Struthio camelus: one gene and its partner. The protein of the gene in region 2 interacts with the protein of the main gene of each other region in a pairwise test. Links are inferred from orthologs where the notes say so. Each region holds a gene or a part of one and is shown on either strand. Other genes may lie near its edges.

Region 1 (7,465 bases), on a different chromosome or scaffold from region 2:
TGGCGTGAGGGACGAGTGTGGAGCGGTGGGAAATCTGGTGGAAAATGTGCAAGGGCGGGTGAGTGCCGGGGAAACGTGGCTACTTTTTAGGGTTTCATGGGATTTTTAAGCGCAGTGGGTAAAAATAATAGGCAGGCTCCGGCGCAGGGCTCAGCGGCTCGGCTGCTGAGCAAACCCTCCCTGCCCCGGCCGCGCGGCTGCCCGGCAAACGCTGCCGCGAGAGAGGGCACCCGCTGGGCAGGGCGTCCCCAGCGTCCTGCTGACCCGGCCCTGCCCGAGGGCCGGAGGCCGCGTTTCGCGCGTGCCCGGGAAATACGGGAGAAGGAGCCTTTGCTCCCGCGCCGGCAGGGTCGGGCCGCGGGTACAGCGCCCAGCCGCCAGCCCGACGTCCCCGCTCGGCGCCGGCCGCGCGCTTTGGTCAAACTGGGCGACGTTTGGGAGCTGAGATGGAAGTGAAATCTGTGACGCCCGCCGAAGAAAACCGTCCCCGAGCTTTTTGGGGCCAGCAGAGCCGGCGGGCGCGCTTCGAAGCCGGGCCGTTCAGCACCGGCCGCCTTAGGATCGCTGTGTTTCGGGAAGAGGGAGCGAGGGTGAAAGCTGTCCAAAAGCCCCTGGCCTGGGGGCAGGGGAGGATCGGAGCGATAGCTCTGAAAGCAGCTTGGAGCGGGTGGCTCTGAGCCAAGCTGCTGAACCAGCTTATTTCCTCGGTTTCAGGAACAGCCGCAGAAGCGCGCCAAGGCCCGGAGGGCACGGCGCTGACGGCCACGTGAGCGATGGCTTGGGCACCAGCCGCAGGCAGGGCTCGGACCCTCCTGAGCCTGCTGGGAACCGTTGCATGCCCCTGGCCCGACCCAGACGCGGCATCTCCGTGAGCTGGAGCGGCGCTTACCCGAAACCAGGGCAGCGCCGGCCCCTCTGACAGGCTCGCAGAGAGACGGGCTGGCTGCGAGCAGCACCTGCTTGGGATGGGGCGTTCAGTCCTTGAGGTCCAGGAGAACAAAGAAATGTTTGTGAGTCTCAGCCCAGCCCTGACTTTGACTTTCTTTCCCCCCCCCCCCCCCCTTCTCTGGGTCGCCTCTGAGCGCGTTTCTCTTGCAACACCTTCCGACGCTAGAGCCAGAAAGCACAGCAGACGCGCAGACTTCTGCACGCCGGGACCCACACCTCGCCATGCTCTTCTGAGCGTGCGGGGATGATGCCCTCCATGGAGAGGGGGAGGAGGAGGACATCACAGTGGAGACCAGAGTTGCTGTGGCTGGGGGGACATCACCCTGAGCTACCTTCTCTGCACGGACCATCTCTGCTGTAAGGGTCATAACAGGGAAAAGAAGCTGAGAAGTTTCTCCTCATGCTCCCGTGCCTGTTTTGCAAACTCTCACTAAACTGGGCCCTGAGGAACAGGTCCCCGCACCGTGCCGGGCTCGCTCCCTCAACCTGTCCCCGGGTTTTGCTTTTACGGTCTTAGCTTGCGTTCAGATGCTGAGCAGCCTCTGAAGGCAGATTTGCTCTCCTTCCGGGACCACGTGGCATTAAACACCGAGCATTATTTAGAATCAAAGGTACAGATGATAATTTTTTTTCGTTCCAGTTATTGTAACTGCTGGAGAATACTTCCCAGGCACGTGGGGAACCCTATTTCATTGACTTCCGTCAAGTTAGTGGGTTGGCTCATTTTATGTAAACCAATTAAGATGGAGTCTGGTTTAAAACGGATGAAGATCAGGTGTCAGTTGTGGATCACTGGGTGCTGCTTGTTTATAATCAGGGTCCTGGCCTGGCTCTCCTTATTTGAGGGATTTTCCATTTTAAATTTCATTTTAACTTTCTGATGGAGGGTGACAGGACGGAGCAGAAGTTCCCGTTGCTCGAGAAGCCTTTCAGAAGTTGCAAGGCCACCAGCTTTGCTGCTTCAATCTGTTTGGACAAGGTGGCACCAACAATTATTGATAGTGCTCTTGACAGCATCAACACGTGTCTTCAAGCAACTTCTTGTAGTCAGAGTAGCCTTACGTGATCAGAAAGAGCCACCAGTTTTCCCTGACCTGGTGTGGCGCACGACTGCCCTGCCGAGGAGGGAGCTGGGGGACAAGCGGCAGAAGAGACTCCAGCGTTGGTTCAGGGCAGCACCGCTGTACAGAGGTGACGTTATCCCCAGGGGCAAATTTCCTCAGGCGGAAAAGCAAGGCGACGTTAAATCCCCGATGTAAATATCTATAGCCGTCTCTGCGCGGCTCTGACTCCTTAACGCACTGTTTCCTTTCGGGGCTGTCCGACGGGTCGTGCTCCTTGGAGGAGAGGGAGCAGCTCTCGAGCGCCGCGGGGCATCGCCGCCCTGGGGCGGGAGCTGGGGGCGATTCCCAGGCCTGGAAACGCTTGGGGGGATTACGGAGCGCTTGTGGGGCCCGGGATGCGGAGGGAGGTACCCGAGCCGGGGGGCCGATTTCCTCAGCTGGTGCCCCCGGGGTGTTTATTGCAGCGGAGATCGGTTTGAGACGCAGTTTGTGCCGGAGCGCGTGGCCGGAGGGAAGAGCCCTGTGCCGCAGGGGAGCTAGCTCGCCCTCTGCGTGAGCCAGGCTGGAAGCGGGAAGGCAGCGGTGGCGGGGGGGGGGACGGAGACGTCGGCTGGGCTCAGCGCCGACGCCGTCCATCCCGGCAGCCCCCTCCTCGCTCCCCGCGTCCGTCGGCCGCGCGGACGGCCCAACTCGGCCTTTCCCTCCCGCTGCTCCCGCCGCCCTCCCGGCGGGGCCCCGCCGCCCGCGTGGCCTCGCTTAACCTGGCCGCCAGCGTGGGACACCGGTGAGCCGGCTCAGCACGCGGAGGGCAAAACACGCCGCGCGTGAGCCGCCGGCGCCTTCGCGGCCGCCCCGCAGCACGGCGTAAAACAGCCCCGTCGTTACCTTTTTCCCGTGAGCCGCTCCCATGGCGCGACGTGCGCGCTTCCCGCGGCCGCCGGCGGCGTTAAGCCCGGGGGGCCGCGCGGGCCCGCAGCTCCCGGCCCCTCGGCCGCTCCGGCGCCGAGACGCAGGCGAAAGCCAGCCGGGCTGCGGAGGGGCCGAGCCGGAAAGCTTTCTTTTCCTCCCGTCTCCCAGCACGTGGAGAACTCATTTTCTTCGTGCACCTAACGGCTGGCTGGCGCCCAGGCGCTGCCTGGGCACAAAGGCAGCTTTCATGCCGCGGATGCCCGGTTTCTAAGCCGGGACCCGTGTTTTGAGAGGCTGTGGAAGATTACGGTAATTGCACTTGACAGGGCAAGATGTCACAGGACGCGGATTCGCCCGGCGCGGGGCTCCGACCGGCCGCGAGCTGCCGTCCCCGGTGCTTGTAGGTCGTTGCCGACGGGCAGCATCCTTCCTGGCGGCTGCTTTGGTGCTTTGCCGAAAGAAACCGGTGCCGCGGCGGGGGCGAGAGGGGGGGAAAACAGCATTATCCCTTTGCAGCGGGGCTCTGTCGCTGCCGGGGGTTTTGCAAATGCGCCAGGATGGCTGTTGGCTGCCGCCGGCTGAGCCCGGGTTACCCGGAGCGGGACCCCGAGGGGCGCCGGGCAGGGCTCGCTTTCGCTGACGCCTCGGGGGGATGCAGCACCGCGAGGTTATCGTCCAGGTAGGTACCGTCCCCGGCTTGGCCATAATGCTAAACTGCTGAGGCACCAGGAAACTCCTCTGGGAGTTGTTATCCCTGCGTCCGCCACCCCCCTTTTTTTTTTTTTTTTAAGATTTTTTTTTTTTGAAGAATAAGCCCTATTTATGTCCCCGAATACCCTTTGGGACTCTGATTTATTTGCCCGATGTGCTGACTTTGGCAGGACGGCTCTTCAAAGCGCTGGTCTCTGATTAGCGTCCCTAAACGGAGCTGAAACGCGATTGCTGGTTTTGGACAGTTGTGGTGTGCCGTTGCGCTCGCTCAGCAACGCATCCAAAGCCGGTTTTAGCTGTCTATAGGGTGCTGGGACATAAACACCCCTTGGAAAGGCGTCTGGTTTAAAGCCAACATAACGTGTGTCGTGAAGGGACAGGAAGAGCTCCCCGAGGGTGACAGGGGGCTGCGGTCTCCTGTACCCCAGGTGACACCGCGCGCTCGCCTTCACGGCTTATAGCCTGCCTTTAATTTGGCTTACGAAGGAATCGAGATCCTTTGAGGGGGCTTAACATAGTCGGCATATTTGTGCTGGCAGCGCCGCAGGCCGTGTGACGGGGGGGCTGCTCTGCCTGCTGAGCTCTGCTGTTTGTCACCGCTGGCCAGGCTGTGCGGGGCTCGGTGCTTGGCGGTAGCGGCTGTTGCTGGAGCGGGTTTGCGGTGCTGCCGTCCCTCCGTGGCAGCTGGGCGCGCGTTAAGGAGGGTAATACTGAATGCAGCTGGCACAGCCGTCGGGGTGTTCCTCTGCCGTGGTTGTGCTCGGGGTTTTTCGTTTAGTTTTGTCTTTGGAAGGTCTTACAGGCATCGCGCAGCTCATTTTGAGGGTGTTTTTTTTTTTTTTTTTGGCCTTATTTAGGGAAAAATTTCAGCTCGCTTAATCTCTTCTAACATACGACACGGGGAGCTCGCGGGGTCAGGAGCGCACAGATCAGGCCGTCACCGTTACGGGGCCAAGTGGGAAGCTTTTCCCCTTTTTTGCTCCGTGCGTCTCTGCTGCAGCTTAGTGTGGGCTGGGAAAAGCATCCGCGTAAGGGGGTTCCCTGCGGCCGAGCCCCCCGCGCCGCCGAAGCGGCCGGCGTAGGTCCCGCGTGACGCAGGGCTTTTGGGGCTGCGTTTAGCCTCTCTGGAGGCGAAACCCACTGGGATAACTTGTGGGCTCCGATAACTGAGGTGAATTGTGCATTAGAAGCTGTTCTGGGAGCGAAGCCCGTTGTTATGGATGCTGGAAAGGCTGTCCAAGATAACCCTTCGTTTCCAGGCGCTTTTACTGCATTATTAAACCCAAAACGCTGGAACAGGAATATTCCACCTTTGCTCTCTGCAAAAAGTGTTTTTTCCCTTTTGAGAATGGGGGGGGGGGGGAAACGGATATGATGGAGGAAATTAAAGCCTGTTTGTGATGCAGATTTGTCCTTATCTACAGTAACAGATAAGCCTGGGCCATCGCCCACTGGGCTCCTCTGATGCCGAGCCGCGCTGGCGCGGGGGTGGTTTGGGGCACGAGCGGCACTCAGGGGTAAATGCCGTCTGCCCCGAGCCTGGGGCAGGCGCTCCCTGGGCGTTCGCGGTCTCAGATCCGCTGGGAACGGCCCCGGCAGGAGGCCGGTGGGCCCTTGCGCGCGCTGTTTGAGCAGGGATTTCTCCGGCAGCAGCACCCGGACCTGCGCCCGGCTCCCACCGCAGCCCAGTGCTCCCAGTCCCGGGCTGCAGGTGGGACTGCGTCCCCGGCAGCCAGGCTGACATCTGGGACCGGCGGCATCCCGTTTCTCCCGGTAAAAGGCTCCCACCTATTGGTTATGTTGCACAATTTCAGCTTGCTGTACCCATTGCACATCGCTCTCGCCGCTGGTGCGGTGACGCGGAGCGGACAGGGGGGTTTAACCCAAGAAAGAGGCAACGGGATGGGGGAAACGCATTGGTCTGCGAACGCGTGACCTGCGTTGCCGCGAGGCATCCCCACAGCCCGTCCGGCTGTTCCCTTGCGGCTGTAGGAGACGGCAGCGGAGGCCCCCGGCCAGCTTCCCTCTGAGTGCGCAGGGTCCCCGGGGTGCCTGTTCCCGCGGGTGACCGGTGGGAGCTCCTGGCACGGCGGATGGAGCCACCAAGGCTCAAGCATCACCAGGGCTGGCCTGCCGTTCACCGCGGGATGGTCCCCGGTGATACCCAGCAGGCGAGAGACAGGGAAAAGCGCAGATTACACTTGAAAAGGGAAGTAAGAAGGCAGTGATTGGCAACTGGCCATCTTAAAACTTAAAAGCCCTCTTGCAAAGTCTTGGTGGCTTAAAGACAGAAAAGTAAAATCCCCCAAACTGACCCACGCTAGAACAGCTTGGGTGAAGCCTGGCTGGACGCTTGCTCAGGCTTGGCAGGGAGTCTGGTACGCCGCTTTTCCCAGTACCGCGCAGTCCCTGCTACGAAATTGCCCGTCGTTTGGCAGCAGGCAGCCGGTGCTGGATACGGCGCTCAGGAGGTGGGGAGCCGGAGCCGGTTCAACGCGACCGGCTTGCCCGGAGCAGCCTTTACCACGGTGGGGGCTCGCGCCCCGCTAGTCCATCTTGCGCGGGGCGCAGCCTTCCATCTCCAGCACCTCGGGCCAGCCGTCGTATTTGTTCGTCTCCTGGTTGTTCTTGATGTGCTGCGGAAGAAAACGAGGAACTAAATGGGGAGTTGGGTGGCAGGGCGAAATCGCAGGGCGGCGAAGCCTGCGGACTGCTCTGACGCGATGGATGCCGCCGCCGGCCTGCGTCGCCTGCAAGCGGGTAGATGAGACGTGCCGCGGGGAGGTGGAGAGCCTCCACCACGGGAGCGCACGGGCGACCGTACCTCTTCAAAGGGGGTCTTTGTGCTCATCCCCTTGGCTCCTAAGAAAACCCAGTTGTCGCGGAAGCCCAGCTTGCTCACGTGGTTGCTGCCCAGCTTGGTAAAGAGCATCCGGATTTTGTCGTTCATCCTCAAAGATGAAAGAAAAGACGTCAGAAAACCTCAGCGCGGTGCCAGGTCGGCGTCCCCCACCGCTGCCCCGTTCCCGCCCCGCGTCCCCTCCGTACAAGGCCGCGGGGCATGTCCCGTCCCATCCCGTCTTGCACTTCTGCAGTGGGGCTGTAAAGGAGCCATCGTGCGTGCAGAGCTGGAGCCTTGTCCGGGCAGGGTGGGATGGGGGGACGGGGCGGCAGGAGCAGCAGCAGCTCTGGTTCATCCCCATCTTGGCTGCGGCTTTTGGGAGAGCCGTTCCCGGGGGCTGGACTCACTTTGTGGCGGGGTCGTCGAAGGTGGCCGTCAGCACGAAGGTGCCGTCCTTGATCTCCGTCAGGAAGGTCTCCAGTTCCTTCACGTCTGGGAGAGGGGAAGCATTAAAAAAAAAAAAAAAAAAAGAATGAAAAAGAAGGATTCAGCTGGGACCGCTGGATGGCAGATGCGGGAAACTCCTCTTAGTAGGAAATATGGTGGATATGTTGGATCAGCCAGGCAGACGCGGGGGTCGTGGGCCTGGAGGGGGCTCTCCCACTTCGCACTCCACCTGCACCCGGACCCGCCGAGGAGCTGCTCGCCTCCCGCTGGCAGGGCAAGCGGAAGGAGGGCTTTGTCCCAACATTTGCTCACTAACTGGGAAAACCCCGCTGCACGAGTTCGCTTCCAAACAACGGAAGGGAGCCTGGGTCTCCCGCGGGGCTGCGGGGCCGGGTCCCCGTCAGCGGCCGCGTCTGAGGCTGGGCTCGGCCGCTGAAGCCGGCTGCCCTACGGACTCCAGCTTTATTGCACGAATGACTCTTCGTCCTGTGTCCGCGCCGGCGGTGTGGGACGCTTTAGGCCAACGTCCCGTCTAGGGGCACAG
Region 2 (7,257 bases):
TAGTTAAACTTAAAAAGAGAATCTTCAGGTACCTAATATTCCATGAGAAAACCTACTGCAGATTCCCACAGTTATAGACTAAAGAGCACGTTTCAACAAAAGAAAGCATAAGATATAGCAGATGCATTTTTCCTACTCTAGATGTTCGTCTTCAGGGTAACTTATTTCTTTCTTCTTGGGCTACTTACAACGCAAGTAATAAATCTGCAGTCCAATTATCAAATCTATATAGACTGTTCGAATGTTTCTCTTCCAGAAAGTTTCATTCAAAGATAAGTAGCTCAGGAAGGAACTTCAGCAGTCCAGTATAACTTACACATTTTAAAAAGTTCAGCAATTGAGAGGCTTATCTTTTGTCAGCTCACTACTACGCTTAAAGGTTCTCCATGAAAATATCTGTTGAAACTATCTCTTGCCACACACCAACAATAGGTCATCTAACATTCTTTTTATGTAGCATGAATACCTCCCATGTAGTTCTTTGCAGAGCTTTCAAAGAAGGTGATAATTGTTTACTTTGAGCTCTGGAAACACTATCCCAGGTCTGAAAACCTCAGCTGAACCCTTATTTAATCCACTACACATAGCAAAGTCTGGACTTGGAACTTAAGTATTATATATTGGTAACTATCACCCTAGTAAGTGAATTAAAATACTCTGGATGCTGCTTCAGCCTACTATACCAGACTCCCTCAAGAAGGCTTTAACAAGTGTGTGATCATGTCATACCAGGTTGGTAACTATTTTCAAAATGTATTTAACAGGATTAAAACACCTCCAAGATGACAGGAAATGTTATGACCTTTCAGTGTTCCATACAGACATCTGAAAGATCAGTATTTGCTTTCTGTTCCAACTTCTTCCTCTGTCCATATAGGCATCACTGACTCTGAAGAGGTGTTAAAGAAGAGGCCATCATATGCCTGTTCTTTAAAAGCAATTCTTACAGATAATCACTATAATTAGCACTACTTTATATAATGCACAGCATGCCTAGTCTCTCAGGGTGTCATAAAAGCTTTTGAAAGGGAAAATAAAGAGCACAGAGGAGGAAAAAGGAATCCTCAGAACCCCAGGAAAGGAGACAGGAAAAGAGCAAGAACGCGTTCTTAAGACCAGTAGCTCTGAGTTTTTAAGTGTATACATGTGCAAGAGTAAACTATGTTAAGTAAACTCACCCGAATACAACTGAAACAACATAGCTTGGAGCAATGGGGACACAGACGTGCATCACGCAATTTCTCCATACAAATAAAACATCGGAATACTTCAGCAATGCTCTGCAAAGGTTAGATTAATGCTATTGTTATGCCACAAACGTCAAACATTTATTTTCTAGGCAGAATGCCAGGTTTAATAAATAGAGTCCTATTCCAAACAGCTATGCATACTGCATCTTGGAGTAGGGTACCGGCTCAAACATCATGGCTCTCTTCCTCATTTCCTTTTACATCCCACCAGCACTCAGTGTCCATTTTAAAACGCTATGCTTCTTCCAGGAAGAATTTCCTTGTTGGATTTATCTTTTACCAACTAGGCATTTCTGTAGCCAAGAGCCATTATTCCTATTTGTATTCCCATGGTTGACAGTTGCCAGAAACAACTGTGCTGTATATGCAGATTCTCAGCCTATGAATTTCAATGTACTGGCTACGCTATGACCAATTCAAAAGCACATTAAGTACCTGTATATATCATACAGAATGTTAACTAGAAGGGTTGAATTGGACAGGTTATTTTCTTGACTTCTGTAAGACTTAAAATAATTTAAGGTCTACCATTACCATTAGATCCACAATTTCTCTGCCCCCCCCCCCCCCACTAAATTAATCTTGGGCAATAAAATCTGGTTTAACATACTGTTTCACTATACCCATTCCAACAGAGAAGTAATTTGTTCTTGAATATAACCACTTCATCTCTCTCCATTCCCAAAATTAGGAAAGTATTGCAAAATATCAAACCATATTTGCTTGTCACACTGATGGATTTTTCACCAATAAGGATTTTCCAAATATAGACTGCATGACTTGCCAGAAGGCACATTCTAAGAAACAAGAGTAAGGTTTGGAAAGTCTTGCAGCCTGTATTATATAGGAGTTAGATCCCTTCTGGCCTTACCTAAAGAACTTTGAAAGATTTTTTCAAATGGGCTATTTTTCCCTCCAGAGTTAAAACTATCATCGGCACAAAGCGAGCCGTATCGTCAATTTACAGATATCACAGCATCTCCTGTACCCTGATGTCCTTTTTAATCGCTGTAAAACCAAACAGATGCATTTACAGGAAGCTACGCGTTACATCTTTTAAACTCTTCGTCGGCTCGGCTCTCAGCACAGCAAGGTAGACAAGGCGTTCAGGTTACTCCTCTCGCAGGGCGCTCTGCCCTCACGCGTGCCAGAGCCGGTTCTGCCGGTGTCAGGGTCTCCCTCCACCTCAGGAACAGGCACCTGCCACGCTCCCCGGACACCTTCGCTAACCCGGGCCGTGTAAAACGACCGCGCGCCGCCTGGAAGCGCTACCGCCTCGCAGCCTTCCTCCCCACCGCCGTCGCAGGCGGGAAAGGCCCGCAGAGGAGCCGCTCTCCCCTCACGGGAGGGAGCGGAAGCCATCGCCAACCCCCTCCCCCCCCGCCAGGCCCCCGGCGGGGGAACGGCAGCCCGCTGCCCCGCAGAGGCGCACCTGGGCGGGCAGCGCCCTCCGCCGCCCTTCCCGCCCCCCCCCCCCCCCCCCCCCGGCGCAGCGCCACCGGCAACCGCCGCCCCGCGGCTCACCTCCACGCTCTGCTCGTCCATGGCCGCGGCTCGGCCGGCGGCGGAGCTGCTCCCCGGCCCCTCTCCCCGCCGCAGTGCCCGGGATGGGAGGGAGGGAGGGAGGGAGGGGGTTGTGCCACAGCGCCGCGCACCCTCTAGGTGCCGGCCATGTTCGCCGCGGCGCGCGGACTGCTCCGCCCTGCGGCGCCGGGAGCGGGCCCGCTCGCCCCTGCCCCGCCGCAACGCGCACGCGCCGCGCCCGCAGGAGGCGGGGCCCCGCCTCGCCGCCCGCGGCCGTTGAGGGGCGGCGCTGCCCCTCCCCCCCAACGGCGCCGGCCTCCTGTCAGACACAAACGCTCACAACTGACCGGACTGAGGCCTGCTCTACGTATTAACGAAATCAAAGACGAGCCCCTTCACCTACCAGAGAGGCGCAGCGCTCAGGGCCCTCTTCCCCGCGGGCAGCTGCTGTCATCGCTAAGGCTTAGAGCCCTTTGAACAAAACTCCCTGCAGTTGTTGCAGGAGAAACACGCTCCTCAACGCCTGTTTTTATCCAAGCTCAAACTTTGCGATCCTTTTGTAACAATTATCTGTGTACGCATGACATTTATTGAAAACAGACAGAAGTACATTAAATGTTTATACAGATTTTTCACTCAGAAGACAGTCTATTTGACAGTGAAGACAAAAATGTTACTCGCATAATATATCAAAGTATATAGAAGAGTTCAGTGCTTAAAAACAGGTGGCTCATGTGAATTCGGAGGGCTGCACTGATCACTGCATCCTCTGCAGGGAAAGGATTTTCCTTGAAGTGTTGGCTTTGATTTTGGGATTGTCTCTTTCCGTAGTGCAGTAGTAAACACAAATTATAAGAGTCACACGGGCAAGTCGGTTACTTTCTCAGTGGGCACAAATTGAAGGACGGGAAATTCTATTTCAACACTAGAAAACTTTTCTTTTTTTTTTTTTTTTTTTTAAACTGCGAGAGTGGTGAAACAGTGGAACAGGTTGCCCAGAGAGGGTGTGAAGTCCCCAGCCTTGGAGATGCCCAAAAGCTAACCGGACGTGACCCAAAGCAACCTGCAGAGACCCCGGGCAGAGCAGGGGGTTGGATTAGATGATCTCCAGAGAGCCCTTCCGACCTCGGCTGTTCTGTGATCCTGTAATTTCATTGGACTGTAACAAAGACAGCGCACATCAAGGCAAAACGAAAAGGTCAGGGGCCAGCGGACATTTAAAAACATATATAATTAAATCTATGGCCTCCTTAGCTTTAATCATTTATTCAGGAATGTAAGTACAATTAAATGGTTTGGGTTATTCATTGTAAAAACCCATTCAGGAATGTAAACAGGAATATGGAAAAGTCACACGGTTAACAATACTCTTCAAAAATGCATCTACGATAGACCTATAAATGTCCAAGATAAATTTCCAACCTCAATGTTTAACTCTGCAATTTTAAGTTTTATAAATAGAATTTGTATACAGAAAAATTAACAGCTTTCTAACAGTGTACTGGTAACTCCCAGACATCAGAGAAATACTTCCTTGTTAATAATCCAGGAGCTATAACCAACATGCTTGTGTGTCAAATAAGAATGGACTGAGCTTTCATTTACGCCACTAATTTAACATTTCCATGTTTGTCAAGTTCCACAACAGAGAGTTCCTTCAAGATGCGTACTCTTGAGTCAGTGGCTTTCATATTCATCTTGTTCATCTGTGAAACGCTGAGTGCTGCTCTGCAAGACAAGAGCAAACTATTCAGCAAAGCAGGGTATCAAACATCAGGCCTGCCAGAGAGTGACTAAAAAGCCCATACTGTTTAGAAGACTGATTTTTGCAAGGGCTCTGCAATTCTCACACTTATGCACATTGCCATCCATTTCACTGTGCTGCTTCAAAGAACAGTCCAAGCTCAGTGTCAAAGACAGAATTGTTAGGTTAAAAGCTTCTTCATTCTTTACCATCAGCCTGTGAGAAATCTGCAGCAGAAATCACAGACAGAGGTCAGGGCTCAGAGTCAAGGGCTAGAGTCAGGGTCTGGGGTCAGGACTGAGGTGAGGAATTTGGGTTAGGGTTTTGCTTTTCCAGGTTATGAAAGCTAGAAAGGTTTTCCAGTATGACTGTGTCAGCAAAACTTTTCTGAGTAGACCCAGTTTTGGACATCTGTTCAGTGACTCCAAGGTTAAAAAAAAAAAAAAATCTGTTTCTGAAGAACTGGACATGCAGTTTTGAAAATTATCAAACGATATAAACCATTTTTATATAAATAAATTTGGGGAGTTTCCTAGGAGGGCATATCACTTTGGGCTATATACCCAACCAGTAAAGGCATAAGTGAGGGAAATCAAATTTTGAAGTTATAGTAGAGCAGCAAATAGTTAACCACTTTCAGAGTTGACAACTGTTTTTATTCAGTTTAAAAAGGCTGGAATTTCTTTACAGATTATAAGAGTCTTATTAATGGATTCCTTCAAGTCTTACCTGTTCTTATTGATAACAAAGTGGTTAAATAACTCCCTGTAAAAATTGTTCAAGTCTGCCAGCTTAACAGTACTTCTGATACTCCTTGGTACAGTCATAAGCGTTTCTTCAGTCAATGGTTTGAATTGTGATTCTAGAAAATTGAAAATAGAAGGCATTTATTTCTTCAGAAATTAGGCCACAGATAGATAGTACTTTCATACCTTTGTAAGAAAACTCCTAAATGATTCTGAAAAAGATTTTACTGCAGGAGGAAGGAGAGAGGGAAGACACTCCCTCCAAACTACCATTGTTTCTGCCGACCTAGTGAAAAATAATTTAATTTGAAATTTGATATGGATTAATAAATTTGGTCTGTCAGAGACTAGTTAAAAACAATCACTAAGAAAACTCCTTTTTATAAATAAGGATGAACAGATTAAGCAAGAGTTATTTCTATGGCACAACTAGTACACCATTTTCTTTCTTCCAGACTAGAGGCACAACAGGATCCACTTAAATCCCCTCATCAGCAAGAGCAGCTCCCAGAGACATGGGAGCTACATGTGGAATATAACTAAGCGCTCAGTTTCTTATAGTAAAGTATAAATTCTTCACTTCATGTAAAAGCAGTAGTTACTAGAGCTTAAGAGAATGAAAACAGTGAATTTACTGTGCTGTTACTGAAGGTTTTTTTACAGTCTCTGTCTTTTTCAGAGAGTAAAACAGCTTAATTCATTAATCCCTGAATTCTAGATAGTAACTCTAATAGTTCTGGGATACTTAAACATATGAAGTTCAACACTGAAGATGGAAGCCTTAGGAAAGATTGATATTATTTGCAAAACTTATTTACAGGGCCTGGGGTGGGAGGAGGCGGGGGATCAGTCTTCATGCTCAAAAAGAAAAGGGAGCAGTAGAAAGATTTTTTTCCCCAGCACTCACCTTCAGTTGAGTCAGGGACTGTAGATTCCGAACTAAATGGCTAAAAATAAATGAGAGATAATTTCAGGATTTGTTGAAATTTTATTTAGAAATTAGTTTTTACAACGAGCATTTCTGTATTAGTAACTACATTTTACCACTGGATACCAAGGATCTCACAGCTACTGAAGTTAACAGCAAAATCTTATGCGTTAAATAAATTCCAATTTCAAATAAGAATAGGTTTAAAATGCAAACAAAAAGATTCATATGCAAGTCAGATAAGCCTCTTCAGCTTTCTCCTCTGCATTCCAGTATGGATCTAGCTGAAAGCACTGCACATGCAGCAAAGGAAAAAGACGGCTTCCCTGTTCTCCAGCAACCCTCAGAGTTGACAGTTTTGACAAGCTAAAGGTAGCTATATCTAACTCTTCTCTGCCAGAAATTCAGCATTAACAACAATAACAAAAAAAACAAAACAAAAAACCAAAACAGGGCCTTTGTGGTATCTTTCCCTTCTTTCTGTCTTTCAGAGACTTTTAGAATATCTTCAAAACACACGTAATAACAACATAGGGACTCATACCAATTAAACAACCTTTAATGTGAGCAGGATATAGCTACATTTTGCACGAGGTCTGTTTTTATGCCAGCTGTATCTTAAGGGCTTCAGAATTAAATAATGGAAAGACAAAAATTGAGAGGATTTAATCAAGGTAGGAGAAGATATTTGCAAAGGAAGAGTGAATGAAGCAGAAAGCCAGTATCATACTGGAAGTCTTTCATGCAAACCAACCGTGGCAATAAAGGGACAGAAAGAGAGACATCCTTTGATAGAAAAGGAGTAGGCAGTGAGAAGAAGTAGAAAAAGATAAGGTCAGTAAGATAATTACAGTCTGCTAACTTTCTTTAATATTTTGTTTTTAATGTAAGACCCATACCAAGTCTTTGCAGATGATTATCACTATTAGAATGTTGTGCTTTCAGGAGCTTTGAGAAAATATCCGACTTTTTAACAAGTATCATTTATATCTACATTCTATTGTGTTATATATTATGTGCAATATGCTTCAATTACTCTTACTCATACTCCAACCTGTATTTAAT

What was found.
Region 1: the proteins of TRIM37 (region 2) and FAM107A interact in binary tests that used the Homo sapiens proteins (3 or more experiments, as listed by UniProt). The two-hybrid records come from large-scale screens. The link is inferred for Struthio camelus from reciprocal best matches to the Homo sapiens genes TRIM37 and FAM107A.

What each region holds. Positions count from the first base shown.
Region 1 is NC_090955.1:10,447,749-10,455,213, forward strand, and holds the start of FAM107A (actin-associated protein FAM107A), read right to left. Parts: upstream 3,014-7,465; 5' UTR 2,922-3,013; coding exon 2,898-2,921; intron 1-2,897. Other genes in the region: protein FAM3D, read right to left, coding at 6,179-6,268, 6,457-6,583, 6,882-6,966. UniProt on the Homo sapiens protein: Stress-inducible actin-binding protein that plays a role in synaptic and cognitive functions by modulating actin filamentous (F-actin) dynamics. Mediates polymerization of globular actin to F-actin. Also binds to, stabilizes and bundles F-actin.
Region 2 is NC_090957.1:18,435,123-18,442,379, forward strand, and holds the start of TRIM37 (E3 ubiquitin-protein ligase TRIM37), read right to left. Parts: upstream 3,009-7,257; 5' UTR 2,796-3,008; coding exon 2,775-2,795; intron 1,281-2,774; coding exon 1,179-1,280; intron 1-1,178. Other genes in the region: SKA2 (spindle and kinetochore-associated protein 2), read right to left, coding at 4,376-4,502, 5,248-5,380, 6,172-6,211. UniProt on the Homo sapiens protein: E3 ubiquitin-protein ligase required to prevent centriole reduplication. Probably acts by ubiquitinating positive regulators of centriole reduplication.